Linked DNA regions of Arabidopsis thaliana. The protein of the gene in region 1 interacts with the protein of each later gene in a pairwise test. Each region holds a gene or a part of one and is shown in the gene's direction. Other genes may lie near its edges. The genes, in order: AT2G17410, STO and AT5G50915.

Evidence for each region.
Region 2: the proteins of AT2G17410 (region 1) and STO interact in a two-hybrid assay, tested with the Arabidopsis thaliana proteins (one large-scale study listed by BioGRID).
Region 3: the proteins of AT2G17410 (region 1) and AT5G50915 interact in a two-hybrid assay, tested with the Arabidopsis thaliana proteins (one large-scale study listed by BioGRID).

The regions. Positions count from the first base shown.
Region 1 is NC_003071.7:7,556,641-7,564,834, forward strand, and holds AT2G17410 (ARID/BRIGHT DNA-binding domain-containing protein), read left to right. Parts: upstream 1-2,275; 5' UTR 2,276-2,512; intron 2,513-2,574; exon of another isoform or gene 2,575-2,816; intron 2,817-3,203; 5' UTR 3,204-3,228; coding exon 3,229-4,814; intron 4,815-4,910; coding exon 4,911-4,950; intron 4,951-5,133; coding exon 5,134-5,186; intron 5,187-5,289; coding exon 5,290-5,335; intron 5,336-5,547; coding exon 5,548-5,640; intron 5,641-5,746; coding exon 5,747-5,854; intron 5,855-5,976; coding exon 5,977-6,031; intron 6,032-6,122; coding exon 6,123-6,189; intron 6,190-6,256; coding exon of another isoform or gene 6,257-6,272; coding exon 6,273-6,339; intron 6,340-6,424; coding exon 6,425-6,475; intron 6,476-6,561; coding exon 6,562-6,654; intron 6,655-6,732; coding exon 6,733-6,834; 3' UTR 6,835-7,112; downstream 7,113-8,194. Other genes in the region: AKR2B (ankyrin repeat-containing 2B), read left to right, coding at 1-38, 114-270, 396-488, 766-905, 1,004-1,103; NTRA (NADPH-dependent thioredoxin reductase A), read left to right, coding at 7,702-8,194.
Region 2 is NC_003070.9:1,827,393-1,832,357, reverse strand, and holds STO (B-box zinc finger family protein), read left to right. Parts: upstream 1-2,374; 5' UTR 2,375-2,492; coding exon of another isoform or gene 2,493-2,592; 5' UTR 2,593-2,669; coding exon of another isoform or gene 2,670-2,698; coding exon 2,699-2,881; intron 2,882-3,050; coding exon 3,051-3,371; coding exon of another isoform or gene 3,372-3,401; exon of another isoform or gene 3,402-3,453; coding exon 3,454-3,696; 3' UTR 3,697-4,018; downstream 4,019-4,965. Other genes in the region: AT1G06050 (ENHANCED DISEASE RESISTANCE-like protein (DUF1336)), read left to right, coding at 691-1,632; AT1G06045 (uncharacterized protein), read right to left, coding at 2,493-2,592, 2,670-2,836; AT1G06030 (pfkB-like carbohydrate kinase family protein), read right to left, coding at 4,228-4,362, 4,444-4,560, 4,652-4,965. UniProt on the Arabidopsis thaliana protein: Acts as a negative regulator of seedling photomorphogenesis and light-regulated inhibition of hypocotyl elongation. BBX24/STO and BBX25/STH function as transcriptional corepressors of HY5 activity, leading to the down-regulation of BBX22 expression.
Region 3 is NC_003076.8:20,709,373-20,715,047, reverse strand, and holds AT5G50915 (basic helix-loop-helix (bHLH) DNA-binding superfamily protein), read left to right. Parts: upstream 1-2,583; 5' UTR 2,584-2,795; coding exon 2,796-3,125; intron 3,126-3,220; coding exon 3,221-3,346; intron 3,347-3,455; coding exon 3,456-3,521; intron 3,522-3,630; coding exon 3,631-3,699; intron 3,700-3,790; coding exon 3,791-3,874; intron 3,875-3,980; coding exon 3,981-4,091; coding exon of another isoform or gene 4,092-4,112; exon of another isoform or gene 4,113-4,209; coding exon 4,210-4,284; 3' UTR 4,285-4,323; exon of another isoform or gene 4,324-4,457; 3' UTR 4,458-4,945; downstream 4,946-5,675.

The DNA.
Region 1 (8,194 bases):
GCTGAGATTGATGCTGGTGGTCCTTCTGCTATGATGAAGTAAGCATGCCATTATTTGCTATAAATTATTAGGTTTACTTGTGTTCATGGCTAATAGTTGATTACTGGTGTTAGGTACTGGAATGATAAAGATGTGTTGGCAAAGCTGGGTGAAGCAATGGGTATAGCTGTTGGAGCAGACCAGACTGTTGCAGCTGAACCTGAAGAGGCCGAAGAAGGGGAAGAGGAAGAGTCTATTGTTCACCAGACCGCTAGTCTTGGTGATGTCGAGGTAAACTGATTCATACACTGTTAGTCTCTCGTGTTTCTGACGGTCTATATTTTATACTTAAGTCGGAATCATTGATCGAGGTTAGCTCATAAACTCTCTGTGCATTGATTTCCTGAACCAACCAGGGTTTGAAAGCTGCCTTGGCATCTGGTGGGAACAAAGATGAAGAAGACTCTGAAGGAAGGACTGCTTTGCATTTTGCATGTGGATACGGCGAGGTATGTCAACGTCTCAACAAGCCTTAACAAAAAAAACTGTCGAAATGTCACTATCACAGAATCATGGAAGGCAGTATATACTACCAATATTTACTAGCATCATGCACTTGATGGATAAGCAGCTTCGGTTTCACTTAGTAGATTATTACACAATTATCTGTAGCATTCTTTACAAAGGAAATTGACAGTTGCCATTATTACATCTGCAATTAGAAGTTGTTATAAAAGCTTAATCCGAAGTTTGAACCCAGCTGACCTAGGTTGAGTTTGTATGTAGGTGAGATGTGCTCAGGTTCTTCTGGATGCTGGAGCAAATGCAAATGCGATTGACAAAAACAAGAACACACCATTGCACTATGCTGCTGGTTATGGAAGGAAAGAGTGTGTAAGCCTCCTCCTAGAGAATGGTGCTGCAGTGTAAGTTTGCAACAACAAGAACACAAATTCGATTTCCAAACAACTTAGTAATGGTTATATAAGACTCTTTTAAGTGTCGTTTCATTTTCTGTTTGCAGAACTCAGCAAAACATGGACAATAAAAATCCCATTGATGTGGCCAGGCTAAACAATCAGCTAGATGTGGTGAAACTACTTGAGAAGGACGCTTTCCTCTGAGCTGCTTTGACTCTTGAAGGATATGTTTCTTCTCTGTCATGTAATAGTGTCACAGAGTCTGATTGCAACCTTGTCTTCTGTGGGGGTTTTCATCATTAAATCTGGAAAAAAAAGATGGAGAAAATGGATGTTTATTATGGTTTTGTAATGAATTATTTTCTTCTTGAATTGGTTTTTTCTTTTGGCTCTTAAAGTCTTTTTTGTCCTTCTTTGTGTGCCACAGGGCTTTAGTGTTGCAATCACAAAGAAAAAACCCTTAAACTGTTATATTCGAGAAGGAATAGACTGTTTAATCAAATCGGTGATAAGATAATTTGGAGATTTTTAACATGCCAACCGTAAATTAGAATGAAGAGTAGAAAGCCCATAGAGGATAACGATACTAATAGATGAGATTTGTACATAAGTAATGTGCAGAATGGAAGTCGATAGAATGAAATGCAAAAGTGAACTCAAGAACAGCAAAGATGATAAAACTTGGACCTCAAATCATCTTTGGCTCTTTGCTGTTTCTTTTGTTTTCTCTCTTGAAAGTATTATTGAAAAAACAGTAAAAAAAAACTCAAAATTGAGGTTACTTCAATTTAACAATAGTAAAATCATCAACACAATTTTTTTTTTTAAAGACATCTTAATTTTCTAAAATGGATATACAAAATCATATCTTGCACCTCGGAATTTGGTCCACCTTAGACGTTTTTAGTGGCAAAAATTCCCGGATTTATGTGGATTCCAATATTAGTCTAGGTTTCGGCATAGAATTCTCCTGGTTAATTAAAAATATGTATACAATGTTATAATTTAATCAAACCAACAAAATAAAAAGAGTTTGTAAAAATTTCAAAATAGTTCTTTCAAATAAATTCTGAACAGTCTTTTAAATTTATTTTTAGTGTTTAGTGTGTCATATGTCATATGTATACAAAAACTTAATTTAAAATTTGTTATTTTGAGTGAGAGTTTTAACTGTAAAACTAAATATACGATTTTACAAAAAGTAATATAAATAAATTAAGCATTATTTGGAAAATAATGTAAAGCTGATAATTATATTCCTAATTTTAAATCCATATTGTTTCCTTAAAGAATATTTCAATATAATTGCAAAAAGAAAAGAAAGGAAATATATCTTCCGACAATATTATCTGATGCGCGTGAAATAGACTATCAGGCCAAGATTAGGTCAAAAAGCCCGTGAGCCCAAAAACCTGAGAAAACCCGGTTCAAATTGCAAACCCTCGATTTCATTTCTCCAATTCGATAGACGCTGGGTAAAAAAATTCGGAGGACGACGAAAGAGAAAACGAGTGTTTCAGTCACTGCCCCACGGAGCTCTCGGAAATTTGTCTTCCCCTTGTCGTCGTCTCCCTATCTACTGCTTCTTCTTCGTTTTCGTCTTCTTTATCAAGGTGCGCTTTAGCTTCTCAACGCCGTTTGATTTTTAGAATTTCGATTTTTTTTTTTTTTTCTTCTAGTTCTTGAATCAATCCGGAATTTGGCGACTATGTTGCTTCGTTTGTAAATCGTATTCTCCTGTTTAGAAATCTTCAATTGACTGTGTTATAGGAACAATTTAAATCTCAATTTCAATGTCTCTTTTAGTCACCTTCGTGTAGTAATTTGCTTTTGAATTACTGTTAATGAATCTCAAAAAATGGATTTTATAATTTGGGAAAAGGGGCTTCTGGGTTTAATTAAAGAACACGAGATAAGGTCTGGTTTTTTCTTTTCATTTCTTTGTGTGTGTTTTTGGTTTCTTTGATTTTCTTCTGGGTTATGGTCCGTTTGAGTCTGGTGATAGTTAGTTGGCAACCAATTTTTATTGATCTATTACAATCGAGAACACAAAACTAAACCCTAAGAAAGAAGTACATAAAGTTGTTGAAAAGATCTCGTTAACTCTCCCAAAGTCCTAGGGCTTTCACACAACCAGTGATTAAATAACCTTTGAGCTGTTCTCCTTCCCACACTTTATATGTGTGTTTGTGGTTTGTCTAATTTGTGAGGAGCTTCTATGAAACCTCTGGTTATTTTAATTGTTTTCTGCAATTCCTGATTGATATGTTTATATATATTTCTTGTATTTGTGAATTTGTGTAGGAATGCTGTTTAATTGGAATCAACAATGGAGAATTTGACGGAAATAGAATCAACGATGGAGAGTTTAACGGAAATGGAGAGTGAGAGAGTTGAACAGGGTACCGATAAGGAAATTGGAAGTGGAGAGAAAAGGCAGGATGATGTAAAGGAAACGGAGAATGAGAATTCTGGAGAGAGAGTAGGAGAGGAAGCTCCTGTCAGGGAACATGAAGATTCTCCATGTCTCATTGTTATTGAAGAAGGTACTTCCCTAGCTTCCCTTGAGGAGGTGACCAATGCTGATGATCTGCCGAAGATTGATGATGAGAAGAATTCCCAATTTGAAACAAGCCCGCATCCAAGTCCTTCTCCTTCAGTAGCTTTAGACACTGAAGAAGGGTTAATCAACCCTACTGCAGAAGACACTGTAGAAGAGAACATAGTGTCTAGCGAAGTAAGTTCGGATATCTTGAAAGATGACGGAGATGCCGTCGAGGTTGACAGAGATACTGCAGAAGTCCAGGAAGAAACGGCCAACATACCTGAATCCAAACTCTCGGAGGACACAGGATCACCTCATCATCATGCTGATATTCTGATGGTGCAGGAAAAAGCTGCAGAAGAACATGACATGATAGCCTCTGGAGACCATGAAGAATTTCCAGTCAATCCTGATAACAAACACTCTGAAGAAAATCAGTCACCACATCATCATGCTAATAATGTGATGGAGCAGGACCAAGCTGCAGAAGAACGTGAGATCATATCCCCAGGAGAACATAAGGAAATTCCAGCCAATCCTGATACTAAAGTTGTTGAGGAGAACAATGACAGGATAGATGAGGGTGAGGCTAACAATTTGAATTTGGCTGGCGATGGAAGTGGAGCAGTCGATCATGATTACTTGACCAAAACGGAGCTGGACAAAGTGCTAGAGGTGCCTGGTTCTGAGACCATATCAAAACTGGAGGATAGGCCATCTGAGCATCTCTCAGAAACCTCAATGAACGTGGAAAAAGAACTAGAAATGCCTGCCGTTGAAATTTTGCCAGACAATGACAAAAACTCTGATGTGTTGGCAGTTGGAGTTTCTGGAGACAGTGACAATGTGGTATCTGTCTTGCCCGCTTCCCAAACTTCCTCTGATCGTGATGAAGGAATGATTACAGTTGATGCTGAACCTACGGAAGACATGAAACTTGATGTTCCAGATTCTAAATTGGTTACTGATACTACTGTTGACTCTACTAATAACAAGGATGCCCATGTTGAGGCTAATACTGAAAGGCAAGATAATTCTAGTGCACTTGTGCTAAATGATGCAAATAATGAAAGTGCACCAGTGAAACGTGTACCTGGTCCTTATGTTGCATCTTCCAATATAAAGTCTGAAGCGCGGGGTAGTGGAGATTTGAACAATGGAGTACATAAAATAGTTCGGACCCCACCTGTCTTTGATGGGACCATGCGCGCAAAGCGCTCTTTCCTCTTGGATGATGCGTCTGATGGTAATGAATCTGGAACGGAAGAGGATCAATCTGCTTTTATGAAAGAATTGGATAGTTTTTTTAGAGAGCGAAACATGGATTTCAAACCTCCAAAATTTTACGGGGAGGGACTGAACTGCCTCAAGTAAGCTTGATACCCATCATTATTTGGTCACTTTACTGTGTTACATTTTAAAATTTTCAGCAGGAGCTGATATCTAATCAATTTCTTTGGCACAAGGTTGTGGAGAGCTGTAACTAGATTGGGCGGATATGACAAGGTACGGGTCACTGTGAATACGCCTGTTGAATGTCACAGCATCTTTTTTGACAAGCAAATGTGACTTCGGCTTTTCATCTTTTGTTCCATCCTGGCTTACTTGCATGCGTACTGTTGTTCATGATCTAGCAGTGGTGCTTTTGGTGATTTTCTATGATTATTATATGCTTTTTATACTGGATAGGTTACTGGAAGCAAATTATGGCGGCAAGTGGGAGAGTCTTTCAGGCCCCCAAAGTAAGAAGAATGCTTTTCTTATTAGTGGTTTGTCTTAGAAATTTTGGGAAATCATGTGGATATTTTTAAGAATTACCCTCTAATTGGTCAATTGTTTGTTCAGGACATGTACAACAGTATCATGGACTTTCCGAGGTTTCTACGAAAAGGTGAGACTATATTCACCACCTTTTCCTCTCTCTGCTTTTGGTTCGTCTATGTGACTTTTGTATACACTGGCATGGGACTGGGACTCTATGTATCAACCCTTCTGAGAAATAATTGAAATGATTGAACAGTGAACAACTGTGAATCATCTTGAGATATGTTTTCCTTAAGATACAGTAACATCTTGTAACATTATAGTTTCTTCATTTTTCAGGCTCTTCTTGAATATGAGCGGCATAAAGTTAGTGAAGGTGAACTTCAGATACCCCTTCCGTTGGAACTAGAACCGATGAATATTGATAATCAGGTAAAATTGAGAAAACCATATCATGTGTCTGTAGTTTTTGTTTGATCTTCTTCTTCTGATTAATGTCAGTGTTTTAACTTAACCCACTGCCTTGTTTCTACACTAGGCGTCTGGATCAGGGAGAGCAAGGAGAGATGCAGCATCACGTGCTATGCAAGGTTGGCATTCACAGCGTCTTAATGGTAACGGTGAAGTTAGTGACCCTGCAATCAAGGTCCGGTAGAATCTTTTTATATGTTTCATTTTACATTCACACTAGATCTCTCGTTTTTTTTTTGTCAAACATTTAATCTATATCTCATAGTCTGAACGAACATACTGTTTTGTAATTAATAGGATAAGAACTTAGTTCTTCATCAAAAGCGCGAAAAACAGATTGGAACCACCCCTGGTATGAGTTCTGTTTGATGAAGAAGTGTTGTTCTCATTTTTATTTTGAAACTTTGACATGGGTTATCACTTACATCTCACAATGTCATCAGGTTTGCTCAAACGTAAGAGGGCTGCTGAACATGGTGCAAAAAATGCCATCCATGTATCTAAATCTATGTACGATTTTTGGCTTTGTGGTCTGGTTTTCAATGCGTGATAATTCACATTTGAATTCTGATTCCAGTTGTTGTTTTTCCTAGGTTGGATGTGACTGTTGTTGATGTTGGACCACCAGCTGACTGGGTGAAGATTAACGTACAGAGAACGGTAAAATCAATTGCCACTTTCTTAAAAACCTGAGCAATCACTTTCTGGTTTTACATATATTAATAAACTCTTCCACTATCTGCAGCAAGATTGCTTTGAGGTGTATGCATTAGTCCCAGGATTAGTCCGTGAAGAGGTAAGCTCTCAAATCTCGTTGTGTTTACATATGGATCCTAAGATTGAGTTTAGCACTCAGTTTTTGTCTTGGCAACAATAATACAGGTCCGAGTCCAATCAGATCCGGCTGGGCGGTTAGTAATAAGTGGCGAACCCGAGAACCCTATGAATCCTTGGGGAGCTACTCCTTTCAAAAAGGTAAATGCTGGTTACATGATTTTTCAGCTTACACGTAGAATGTTGAATGACATTTTCAAACCTCCATTGAAACTGCAGGTGGTAAGTTTACCAACGAGAATCGATCCGCATCACACATCGGCTGTGGTAACCCTAAACGGGCAGTTATTTGTTCGTGTGCCTCTGGAGCAATTGGAGTAGAAACATTTACAGTTTAACAAAGCCTTTGAAGATCTGAAAGAGAGAAGATTGTTAGAAGTAGTTGTTGAGAGTATTTTGTTTGTATATTATGAGAGATTAAGCACAACATGAGAAGAGCCTTTAGGAATCCTTAATTAGGCCATCTAGTTTTTATTGTCTCTCCTCTCTTTGATTAGATTCTTCTTCTAAGTGTCATCACTATTGATTTGTTGTAGCACCAAACTTCTTTAAACCTTTCTATTAAGAACACACAAATCTACAACCTTTTTATTTTTTTTAATTGTTTATGTGATTTGTTTTCTGTGGCAGTGAATTTTTTATATTATCAACTTATCATGTTAGCTCAAGATTGCATCTCAATTTGTACTTATCTTAGTGGTAATTAGAAAAAAAAACAAAATTAGGCTACAATAGTTTTGTTTGTTTGTTTGTTTAGGTGTTAGGGATAGGGTTTATTTTTTCCGAAGTTTATTAGTGTTTACTATTTAGAGTTTAATGTTTCCAAAATTTTATGGTTTAATTTATACTCTCAGATTAGGTTAAACATTTTTATTTTTAAAAATCTATAATATTTTTCTAATTTTACTTTAAATTGTAGACTAAATAATTGATTCAGCCTTATATTATATCTTAAACTTTGCAAGAATCACTTTGGCTTGTAATGAAATGAAATCCACTGTTTTCATATTCAAAGTGATTCTAGTCTTGTATTAACTATTAAATATTCCAATCTTTAACAACAAAGAAAACTATAATATTCAAAGCCATGTATATAATAATGGACATGGTCCAATAATTTGGCAATTTAAAAAAATATTAAAGAGAAAAGTAGATTCAAATAAAGTGGTCTATATTTCAAATTGCAAAATGTGTTGGATCTCAATGAGCCAGTCAAGATTCATTATAAAGTCTTTATTTAGCACAGCAGGAGGTTTCTTACTTGGATCTGCTCTCTCAAATCCGCCGTCTCTAGCCACCGCGTTTTCTTCTTCTTCCTCGTCCTCCTCCGCCGCCGCCGCCGTCGACATGGAAACTCACAAAACCAAGGTTTGCATCGTCGGAAGTGGACCAGCAGCACACACGGCGGCGATCTATGCATCGAGAGCGGAGCTTAAGCCTCTTCTCTTCGAAGGATGGATGGCTAACGACATCGCTCCCGGCGGTCAATTAACTACAACAACCGACGTCGAAAACTTCCCTGGGTTCCCTGAAGGTATTCTCGGTATTGATATCGTTGAGAAATTCAGAAAACAATCGGAGAGATTTGGAACTACGATCTTCACGGAAACTGTTAACAAAGTTGATTTCTCATCGAAACCGTTTAAGCTATTCACTGATTCGAGAACTGTTCTCGCTGATT
Region 2 (4,965 bases), on another chromosome or scaffold:
CTCTTCTTCGGCTGCAAAAGGTTTATTGTTTGCTCCTTGTCCTGCGATTGAATTAGTCTTTTGTTATTTGTATCTCTCAACTTTGATTTTTTCCTTTTTATTATTGTAGCTGATTCCTCTTGAACCTCTGAAACTTGTTAATCGTTTCTGGGTTTTGATTGCTCTGTTGATAAAAAAAAACGTTTTTTTTTCCGTTTCTTCTTATGTGTTGTAGATGAATGTAAAATTCAATTATCTGGGCTCTGTCTCTGTGCTTTGTCTATTGAATGGTATGCATGTTATTTCAGATAATCTAGGGCTTAGGTTTGTAGAAAATCTCAGAATCGTGTATGCTGAATTTTGATGTCATTACTCAGAATTTGAGTCAATTTACTAACTTTATTCTAGTTTCCGGTGTAGCTATGACTTGAACCGGAGTTACCAGCTCCTAGTTTTTGTTTCTTTGAGCAATTTTTGTTTCACTCTTTTCTTTTAAAAAGTTCTTGTGGCATAGTATGAATCCTATGGGAAATTAGATGAGGAATAGATAGAGCCTCAGACATACATGGTTCTGTTTTCTGATCACATGTTTTGGTCTTCTTGATGGCATATTCTTGTTTGCTATATTCACTAAGTAGAATCCATGAGATTGTTTTCCACACTCAGTTTTACTCAAGGATTTAAGCTCTGTGTTGCAGGTTTTCGCAAGATATGGCTGGCTCTGTTGGTGAGGAAACTGAGCCAGAATGGATTAAGAGAGTGAAATTAGAGGGAGCTGTTCCATGTCTTAAGCCAGACGACAACTGCAAAAATGGTTGGACGACGCCATCTCCTGACACATTTATGGTTAGAGGACCAAAGTATTTCTCTGACAAAGTTAAGATACCTGCTGGTGATTTCCTTCTAAAGCCTCTGGGTTTTGATTGGATTAAAGGTCCTAAAAAGCTTTCTGAGATCCTGAGTTATCCAAGCAGCCGAATCAGGAAAGTTATCGATGAGGAGTTTCAAAAAGATGGAACTAAGCCTTTTGTCTGGGCATTCAATCTCCAGCTTCCTCACAAAGACAATTACAGTGCTGTGGCTTACTTTGTTACCACAGAGCCTATCCTTGAAGGCTCCCTGATGGATCGGTTTTTGAAAGGAGATGATGGGTTCAAGAAATCGAGGCTTAAACTGATTGCAAACATTGTCAAAGGCCCTTGGATTGTTAGAAAAGCTGTTGGAGAGCAAGCGATCTGTGTGATTGGACGTGCACTCTCTTGCAAATATGTTTCAGGGGAAAACTTTGTGGAGATTGATGTCGATATTGGTTCTTCAATGGTCGCTAGTGCCATTGTTCATCTCGCATTTGGCTACGTTACTACATTGACAGTTGATCTTGCGTTCCTCATTGAGAGTCAGACCGAAGCAGAGCTTCCAGAAAAGCTACTAGGAGCTGTGAGATTCTCTGAGCTGCAGACCGAGTCAGCCACATCTATCGAACTGTCCTCAAGCACCAGTAATGACCAGTGGGATCAAACTACCTCAGAGCGGTCGAGCTGGTGGAAATCGATTGGAAATGGATTCTCTAATCTGCTTAATCAAGATACGGCCAACATGAACAATACTTCTCATGGGGACATCCAGAAGGATGAACATGTACAGAAGCAGTAAGTGTTTTGGGAGTTATTAACTTCACAATTCTTTGAATTTGTTCGATTTCATTACCAAAAAACAGAAACAAAAACTTGTCAATTCTTTAAAAAAACCACAGATGTATAGATTGGTTTTTACTAATATGGATGGATATGTGATATCCAACAACAATTCTTGTGACCAACCATGCCTAATTTTGTATTGGTGTCTTTTAGGATCATTCTTTTTCTCGAACGGGCTAAGCATTCATTTCTTTGTTAGTTAACATGCCAGTATATTTTTAATGATTGCATTAATCGTTTTTATGATTGAGAAAACGAAAAAGTGAAAGAAGAAGAAAAATCTGATCGAATGGTACATATTAACATAACATGTCGTCATTCCAAGGAATCAATTCACATGTCATTTTCAAGATTACGTGTAGTCGTGTAATATTCTCTGATTTGAGTAATACCATTACCCAACTCTTTCTTTCTAGATGAAGCCCATTTTTGTATACAAATCTTTCTTGAAATCGTAAAAGTTCACGAGACTTGAAATTCGAGCATATCATATAAAAGGAGCGTAAAAGTCTAGTGGTGGTGGAATTATTGAAGTTAGTTTATTAGTCAAAATTAATGTGTTTTGACTAGATTAGTAAACAAAACACAAATCTCTACTACGTGAGAAAATAACAAGAATATAAAATAGCAAAGTGTGAATATAATAAAAATATCTAAAGGTAGGAGAGATGACGAGAGGAAGAAGGAGAGCCACAGAAAAAGAGTGGGACCCGCAAGACCTTGCTGTAAGAAGCAGAGTGTTTCCTTTTGATACGCAGAATAATGAAAACAAAGCAACAAGCAAGATTCATCAAATCCTTATCTTCTCTCTTTCACTCACAACCAATTGCTCATCCCACCTACTTGTTCCCCACAAAACACTCTCTCCCTCTTTGTTCTTTCATCTTCTCTAAGCTCTTTCTCTGAACCTACGCTTCTGCTAAGCTATTCTAAGAGAAGCCAGACTAGCAATAAACCCTTCATTTTAAGCATTCTGTTTCCTTCTTGAGAAACCTAGATATTTTGGTTTCTTGTATCCGGTGATGAAGATACAGTGTGATGTGTGTGAGAAAGCTCCGGCGACGGTGATTTGTTGCGCCGACGAAGCTGCTCTCTGTCCTCAATGCGACATCGAGATTCACGCCGCTAACAAACTCGCTAGCAAGCACCAACGTCTTCATCTTAATTCCCTCTCCACCAAATTCCCTCGTTGCGATATCTGCCAAGTAAGTTTCTCTACAGATCTCATTAGATCTTGTCAAATATTTTATGGATTCGTTAGTTTGAATCTGCTCTGTTGCAAAGTTGTGATTTTATAGATCTTGTAGCAACTGTTGTATGTATGCCTTGTTGTTTAAGACTAGGGTTTGCTCATTATGTTCTTATGACTTGTAGGAGAAGGCAGCTTTCATTTTCTGTGTAGAGGATAGAGCTCTGCTTTGCAGGGACTGCGATGAATCCATCCACGTGGCTAATTCTCGATCTGCTAATCACCAGAGGTTCTTAGCCACTGGGATCAAAGTAGCTCTGACCTCAACTATATGTAGTAAAGAAATTGAGAAGAATCAACCTGAGCCTTCCAACAACCAACAGAAGGCTAATCAGATTCCTGCTAAATCCACAAGCCAGCAGCAACAACAACCTTCTTCTGCTACTCCACTTCCCTGGGCTGTTGACGATTTCTTTCACTTCTCTGATATTGAATCCACCGACAAGGTAGTGATGAGAATTGAGATTCAATGTTAGATCACTTTCTTTGCAAGAAGCTTTTATTGACTTCTTGGTTTAAATTGAGCAGAAAGGACAGCTTGATCTTGGGGCAGGGGAGTTGGATTGGTTTTCAGACATGGGATTCTTCGGTGATCAGATTAATGACAAGGCTCTTCCTGCAGCTGAAGTTCCTGAGCTTTCTGTTTCGCATTTAGGTCATGTTCATTCATACAAACCTATGAAGTCAAATGTTTCACACAAGAAGCCGAGGTTTGAGACCAGATATGATGATGATGATGAGGAACACTTCATTGTCCCTGATCTTGGCTAAAAAGCTATATGTAATCTATGTGTAGACATTCTTCAATGTAAAAGAACAAACAAGAAACCTATCTGCATGTGTGGAGTTAATGTCATATACATTTTAGTTTTGTCTTAAGTTGTGTAAGATATGTTGAGAGCTTATAACAAATGTCTGTGTTTGAGTTTTGTTCATACCTCTTGAACATGGTCTATGCTTAATGCTTTGATGCTACAAACTTGATACTAAATGTGTTCTCTCTGTTCTTTCTTGGTTTTTTTTTGTTTGTTCCTGATTATTACTCTGTTTTCAAAGCCTTGAGAAACAATCCTCAATGCAATTTACGGTTCCAAACAACTACGAAAAACTCTTTGTTTTCTATTAGCAAGAAAAGCTCAGAAGTCACAAGTCTGTTTTATTCAATACAATGAAGAAGAAAAAGAAAAGACAGAGAGAGAACCAAAAAAAAAAAACATTACAAATGATCAGAATCATCAGGAAGAATCCAGAACAGATTATTACAATAGACAAGGAGAATTCTGGACTCGAAGAGAAGTTTTACTATTCTACTTGTATCTTAAGAAAACTGAGAGCTTCACAATCTGTAGGAAGAGCTGGAATGGCTCCCTTTTTAGTCGTCGTGATTGCTCCACAAGCGTTTGCAAATCTCAGCACTTTTCTCAATCTCTCTTCCTCCTAAGAAACGAGAAAAATCAGTAAATATCATCAACAATATTCAGTTGATTGAATAGACACACAATATCAATGGGAGTTAACCTCGAGTACAGATTGATCATCAACAATCTGGTTTAGAAGCGCGCCAACAAAAGAATCACCAGCTCCAGTAGTATCCACAGCGTCAACATGGAAAGTTTCAACAGATCCATGGAAATCCTACACAAGAGTCAAGAGAACATCAATCAAAATCACACACCAAGATCATCATGATGATGATGAATCCACATGAATGTTTGTTGTACATTACCTTAGTGTAGTAACGACATCCATTTTCGCCAAGTGTAACAAGCAAGAGCTTCAAATTAGGATGCCACAGAGACATAGCTGTCTCATCATCAATCGTTTTGTTTCCTGTCAAGAACTCAAGCTCGACGTCACTGACCTTAATAATGTCAGCCTTGTCCCAGATACTCATGATCTGTTTCCTAGCTTCTTCAGGGGATGGCCACAGAGGTTCCCTGAGGTTTGGATCGTAGGAAAGAAGAGCTCCAGCTTCTTTCGCCACCTCCATCGCCTTCATGTGAGCTGATCTACATGGCTCTGTAATCAAACTTATTGATC
Region 3 (5,675 bases), on another chromosome or scaffold:
AGTTCCTTTAAATATAATAAGGAACACTGAAATTGATATAACATAGGATTAAGATAAAACGTTTCATGTTGAATTTGGTATTAGTGTAGAAGAAAGCGATGTCACATATTGGAACATAGCTAGTGCCAGTTTGCACAGGTACTATTAAATCTTCGGAGATTTTGCATAGATTCGTAAATTGAATAGATAAAAAACAAAAGGAGAGTCGTACCATCACAAAACTCATCAATTTTTAATTAGAATTTTTTTCTCTTTGTTACTATTTTATTGCATTGTAGGCGATGATATGTGAGTAAAAGGTTATCTCTCGTATCATGCGGATAGAGACTTCTATGAATATCTATTTCGTAGACGTAACCGTACGTTAATTAGTCTATTGCCAGGTTGATTTATTTGTATTCTTCTTAGTAGAGAAAATCAATACTTCACTAAACAAAATGGAAATAATATGGTAGAAGGACATAAAACTGTTTTGATAATAGAGAAGAAAACATATAGAGATGCAACATATTTGAATAACAAATATAATGAGATTAAGCTAAATAAACGAAGTGATTAATAGAGATCTATAACAGTTATGAGATCAACCTAACTTACTTCATATATCTTACAATCGTCACATAATTCACTAGACTTATCGGCCAGAAAACGCCGTAAAATGGAAGTTGTTTCTTTGCATTTGTAAGTAATGTTTTGGGATATAGGATGGTAGAAGAAAACTTTGAGTCAATTTCTTAGAGTGAAGTAATGTACCTAATCTATCTCGTAATTCAAGATTCATTTTCATATCATCCTTTCGTAATTAGTCTCGTGCACTTATTCTTTTCTTTAAATGTGATCTTGAATATTCAAAACACAGTACAAATAATAGATCAGCCGCTAATTAAATGCGTTAGATAAAGAATAAAGGTTTTGTGCAAGTACCCTGATTTGAAAAGAAGCAAAAGAGAGATATTGGTGAAGAAAATATGATGCCAATAAATGTTTATTCCTCATCCGGATGAAACGTGCATAATCTCTATCATCTTCGGGTTATGATAATTAATTACAAGCTCATGCGGACCTTTGACATGTAAATTATGTCCAAAAGAACAATCATAATGTTTTCTTGGTTCCTAATTAGCATGTTTTCTTTCTGCTCTAAACTTGATCTCAAAAAGAAAATCATAATAGAAAGTCCATAGATCGTATTCGTACGTATACAATTGATAATTAATTAATCGTAGATTCGCTTAATGTTTTTGTTAAGTACGTGTCATAATAATAATTTATAAATAGAAGAAAGGAATTATAATAGTCTAAATAATTAAGGACATGGATTGTGATAAATTTTGATGGTCAAGTACTCGTTTTTTCGATTATTACTATAAGAGTACCCGATTATATCAAAACAAAATGGAGATTTATGATTTTTTGTCTTCTATGCATACCCAACGGTATCATGGGATTGGACTTCACACCTTATTCACAATTTTTTTTCTTTTGTCCTTTTCTGAAAAGGAAATTTCCTATGTCGATCCAAAGTGGGAAATGGACAAAAGTTTTTATTTTCTCTAACAAAAATGGACAAAAGTTTGTAGTATTATGGTATCCACATAGAGATTATTATTGAGAAGATCACGCGGCATTACATATTTAGTTCTAAATGTACAGTATTTTGGATAGGGTAATATATCTCTCTACTATCTAGTCTTTAATTATATCTGACTCGTTAAACTGTGCCTATATATTGATCTATATATTAGCTGTGGCAAAGGTTCTGCAATCTGATAAAGTAAAATTGATTGATAAATGATAAATATTGCTCTTTTGGTGTACATTAACTTTTTTGATATGTGTATTATAGGTCCGACCCTCTTATAAAGTAAAACAAGCCATAGCTTTAGGGCATTTCTAAATATAGTTCGTTGTTAGGGCGACAATATTGAATGCTTACGTGAGTGTAGTTGATGGTCAATACAAATACATCAATTGGTTTTAGAGAACATTTTCCTCGAGTTCGACTGCCCACGTTGGTCGTTCTTTCGTTCATTTAATGGGTTTAGTTGATTACTTCTTTTTATAGTACATTTATTGTTTTCACGTTATGCGCTATTATATTCTTATAAAAAAAGTCTTAATTAAATGATATATTGATCAGTATTTGTCTTGTTTAGTTTTACAACATGGTTGTATTACAAATTATGTAGTATTTATAATCTTATATTTCAAAACATAATTTATTCTCTAAATAACATAAAACTATGGAGAATACAAATTACAACAAAATTTAAAATTATAAGTTCTTACATAAAGTAATTTGAAACAAATTTTCTAAAATATCATGATACCCATAGAGTAATAAAACTAAACAAAATAAATAGACAAATATTCCATGAGTTTGCATTTGAAAAAAAAAAAAAAAGAGAACATACGTATCTAAGAATGATGAAAGATCATTAGTCACCTAATTTTTGAAATTCAACATTATTTACTTAAATTTTCATTTTTACTCTTCCATGGTTACTCAATGCAATTACTTAAATATACAATCTCGATATTATATATAAACATATCATCTAACATAAATTACCCGCCGAAATATGGTAGTAATTTCTTCTCAAATAAAAAGGTATCTTCAATATACAAGTGGTCCCTAAAATACTCTTTCTTCTGTTTCTCCTTGTTTCTTTGAATAGTGAATACAAAAGCAATTCCTTATATAAACCACTTCAAGTCCTTAATCTTCTCTCACAAAGAAAAAACACTATCTCTATCGACAAAGATAAGAGAACTCAGAAGCTTCTACTCTTAAAATGGCAACTTTCTCTTATTTCCAAAACTACCCTCATTCCCTTCTTGATCCTCTTCTCTTCCCTACACCTCACTCCTCCATTAATCTCACTAGTTTCATCGATCAAAACCATCTCTATCCACTACCAAACATTTCCACAGTTGAAGACATTTCCTTTCTTGAATATAATGTTGACAAAACTGAAAACTCTGGTTCAGAGAAACTGGCCAACACAACCAAAACAGCAACCACCGGTTCTTCTTCCTGCGACCAGCTCAGCCACGGACCATCAGCCATCACCAACACCGGAAAAACCCGTGGGAGGAAGGCCAGAAACAGTAATAACTCCAAGGTATGTTAAACCAACTTGTAATGTATCATCTATCATTTATGTGATGGGGTTGGGATAGTCAAAAACATAAATGTTGGTGTGGTTTGGTGAATTAGGAAGGAGTAGAGGGAAGAAAAAGCAAAAAACAGAAGAGAGGAAGCAAAGAAGAGCCTCCAACAGATTACATTCACGTTCGAGCTAGAAGAGGCCAAGCTACTGATAGCCACAGCCTTGCTGAGAGGGTATTTTAGTCATTTCTCTTAACATTTTAATTTTTCTTCATTAATCATGTTTTCATAAAATACATTTTGATTAATATTTGATTAAACTTATATATATATATATGTAAAGGTGAGAAGGGAAAAGATAAGTGAGCGGATGAGGACTCTGCAAAACCTTGTTCCGGGCTGTGATAAGGTCAGCTAGAGTAGAGACAATTTTATTTAGGAGAATTGATAATGGTTTAATTTTATAATGTTTCTAGAAAATGTTATTAATTGATTAAATGTGACTTGAAAACGAATAGGTAACAGGGAAGGCCCTCATGTTGGATGAGATTATAAATTATGTCCAGACCTTGCAGACTCAAGTTGAGGTGCATTTTCTTAATTATTTTGTTTTTTCTTGTAACATTTTATGTTAAAACTAATGTTTCTAATTCATAACTTTTTTTTCTGTTTCATTAGTTTCTCTCAATGAAGCTAACTTCTATAAGTCCGGTGGTCTATGACTTTGGCTCCGACCTTGATGGCCTCATACTTCAATCTGAGGTATTTCATTTACACAATGTCTCTTAATCCGGTTACCGATAAAACCAAGTCATGTATCCCGAAAAGCCGGTTATGGATCTTAAGTAGATATTTTCTTGATGGACAGATGGGTTCTCCAGAAGTAGGAACGTCTTTTACCAATGCAATGCCAACAACTACTCCTATCTTTCCTTCACTATTGGATAATTCTGTAGTTCCCACACATGCACAAGTTCAGGTTTTTCATTTTTTTCTATAAGTGATTATTTCAGATAATAATTATAATAAGGAGAATGAAGATAGATAAGAATCAATTATTGGAAGATTAATAGATAGTGATGTGTTGCTTAATTTAGGAAGAGGGAGAAGAAAGAGAGAACTTTGTAGACAGAAGTGGGTTCAACAACAACAACTTCTGTTCTTTCCCTTGATAAAATTACATGTCGACACAAACACAAAAGCCTGCTTTCGTGAGTTTCTTCTGGTCTTGTCTCTTCAACTACCTAATTATTATCATTACAATTATTTTTAACATTTCTCATATAGAAATTGTTAAAAATCTTGATGTGGGTTCGTAATTATTGCTATCGTTTATTGGATGTAGGTTGATTTAATCTCCTCCCATTTGCACGGAGGGAATAAAATCTACGTAAACCAGGTTTTGTAAAAGTGGATGTACTTATTTGTTCCGTTTATATAGTTTGAAGAAATAAAGTATTTTAGAGACTTAAAAAGCTCATTTTCTCTATTTGTCCCGAGAGTTTCAACATAATCATTACATAAAATCAATGGATAAATTCATACTAAAAGAGAATGGTATATGAGGCAGAGGCAAATTCGATGGAGGAAAGAAAGACATATAAACTAAGAAGACCTATCAGCTTAATCATTGTTTTTTTTAATATAATTGAATTTTGATGTATCCACTCATTAATTTTATAAGTTCTTGTATTTTCACCACTTCTGTCTTTCTGATTTCTTGCACCAAAGTTTCCTTTTTCCTCCAATCTTTTTAAATGTAAACTGTTATCCACACACTCATGTTATATTTCCTATATATATAAAAATGTTCGAGGGATAACTACTTATGCATGTATATAAATCTAAATGATTCGTTTCCTGTCAATTTAGTTGGCTACAAAATTATGTCAGAAGAAAAGATTAGATTTCCCTTCCTGAGAACACTTTAATGTACCTGTTGAATAGTTTGGTCATGCTTTTCTGCTCTCACTTGTCACACATTGATAACTCCCATTCCTCTGTATCTGTCCTTTCACAATACATATGTTATAAGTTTTATTTTAGTTTAGAGTATGTCTAATATATATATACCAAAATTCTTGAAAGAGATATTTGATACTGTTGTATTTGTAAATATGATTTGTTGGTTGTCTAACATTTTCATGAGGTGGTAATTAACGATTCCTTGAGTTATTCAATCCTAAATTGCAGGATTTATTTGAATACACCTAAATAAATTATATGCAAGAGCCTTATGTATATTATCGTTATTCAGTTACATACATATTAATAACCTCTTTTATTAACGAACCTAGAATAGAGATTTTTTTGTATGATTTTCATTTCTTGATGTATATGTCAGGATGTATATGATTTGTGAGATTACTCTTCACAATTCAACAATTTGAGATTTTAGTTAAATAAGTAAAATTTAATTGATATCATCTCTTCTAAGATTTGTTATTGGACTATGGTTCAAAATTTTCACTTTTTCCCTTTTTTATTATTATAAATATGATATGTTGCTAGATGAATTGGGTCATCATTTTCTTGCAATTGTTTCGTCATGAATACGATTTTT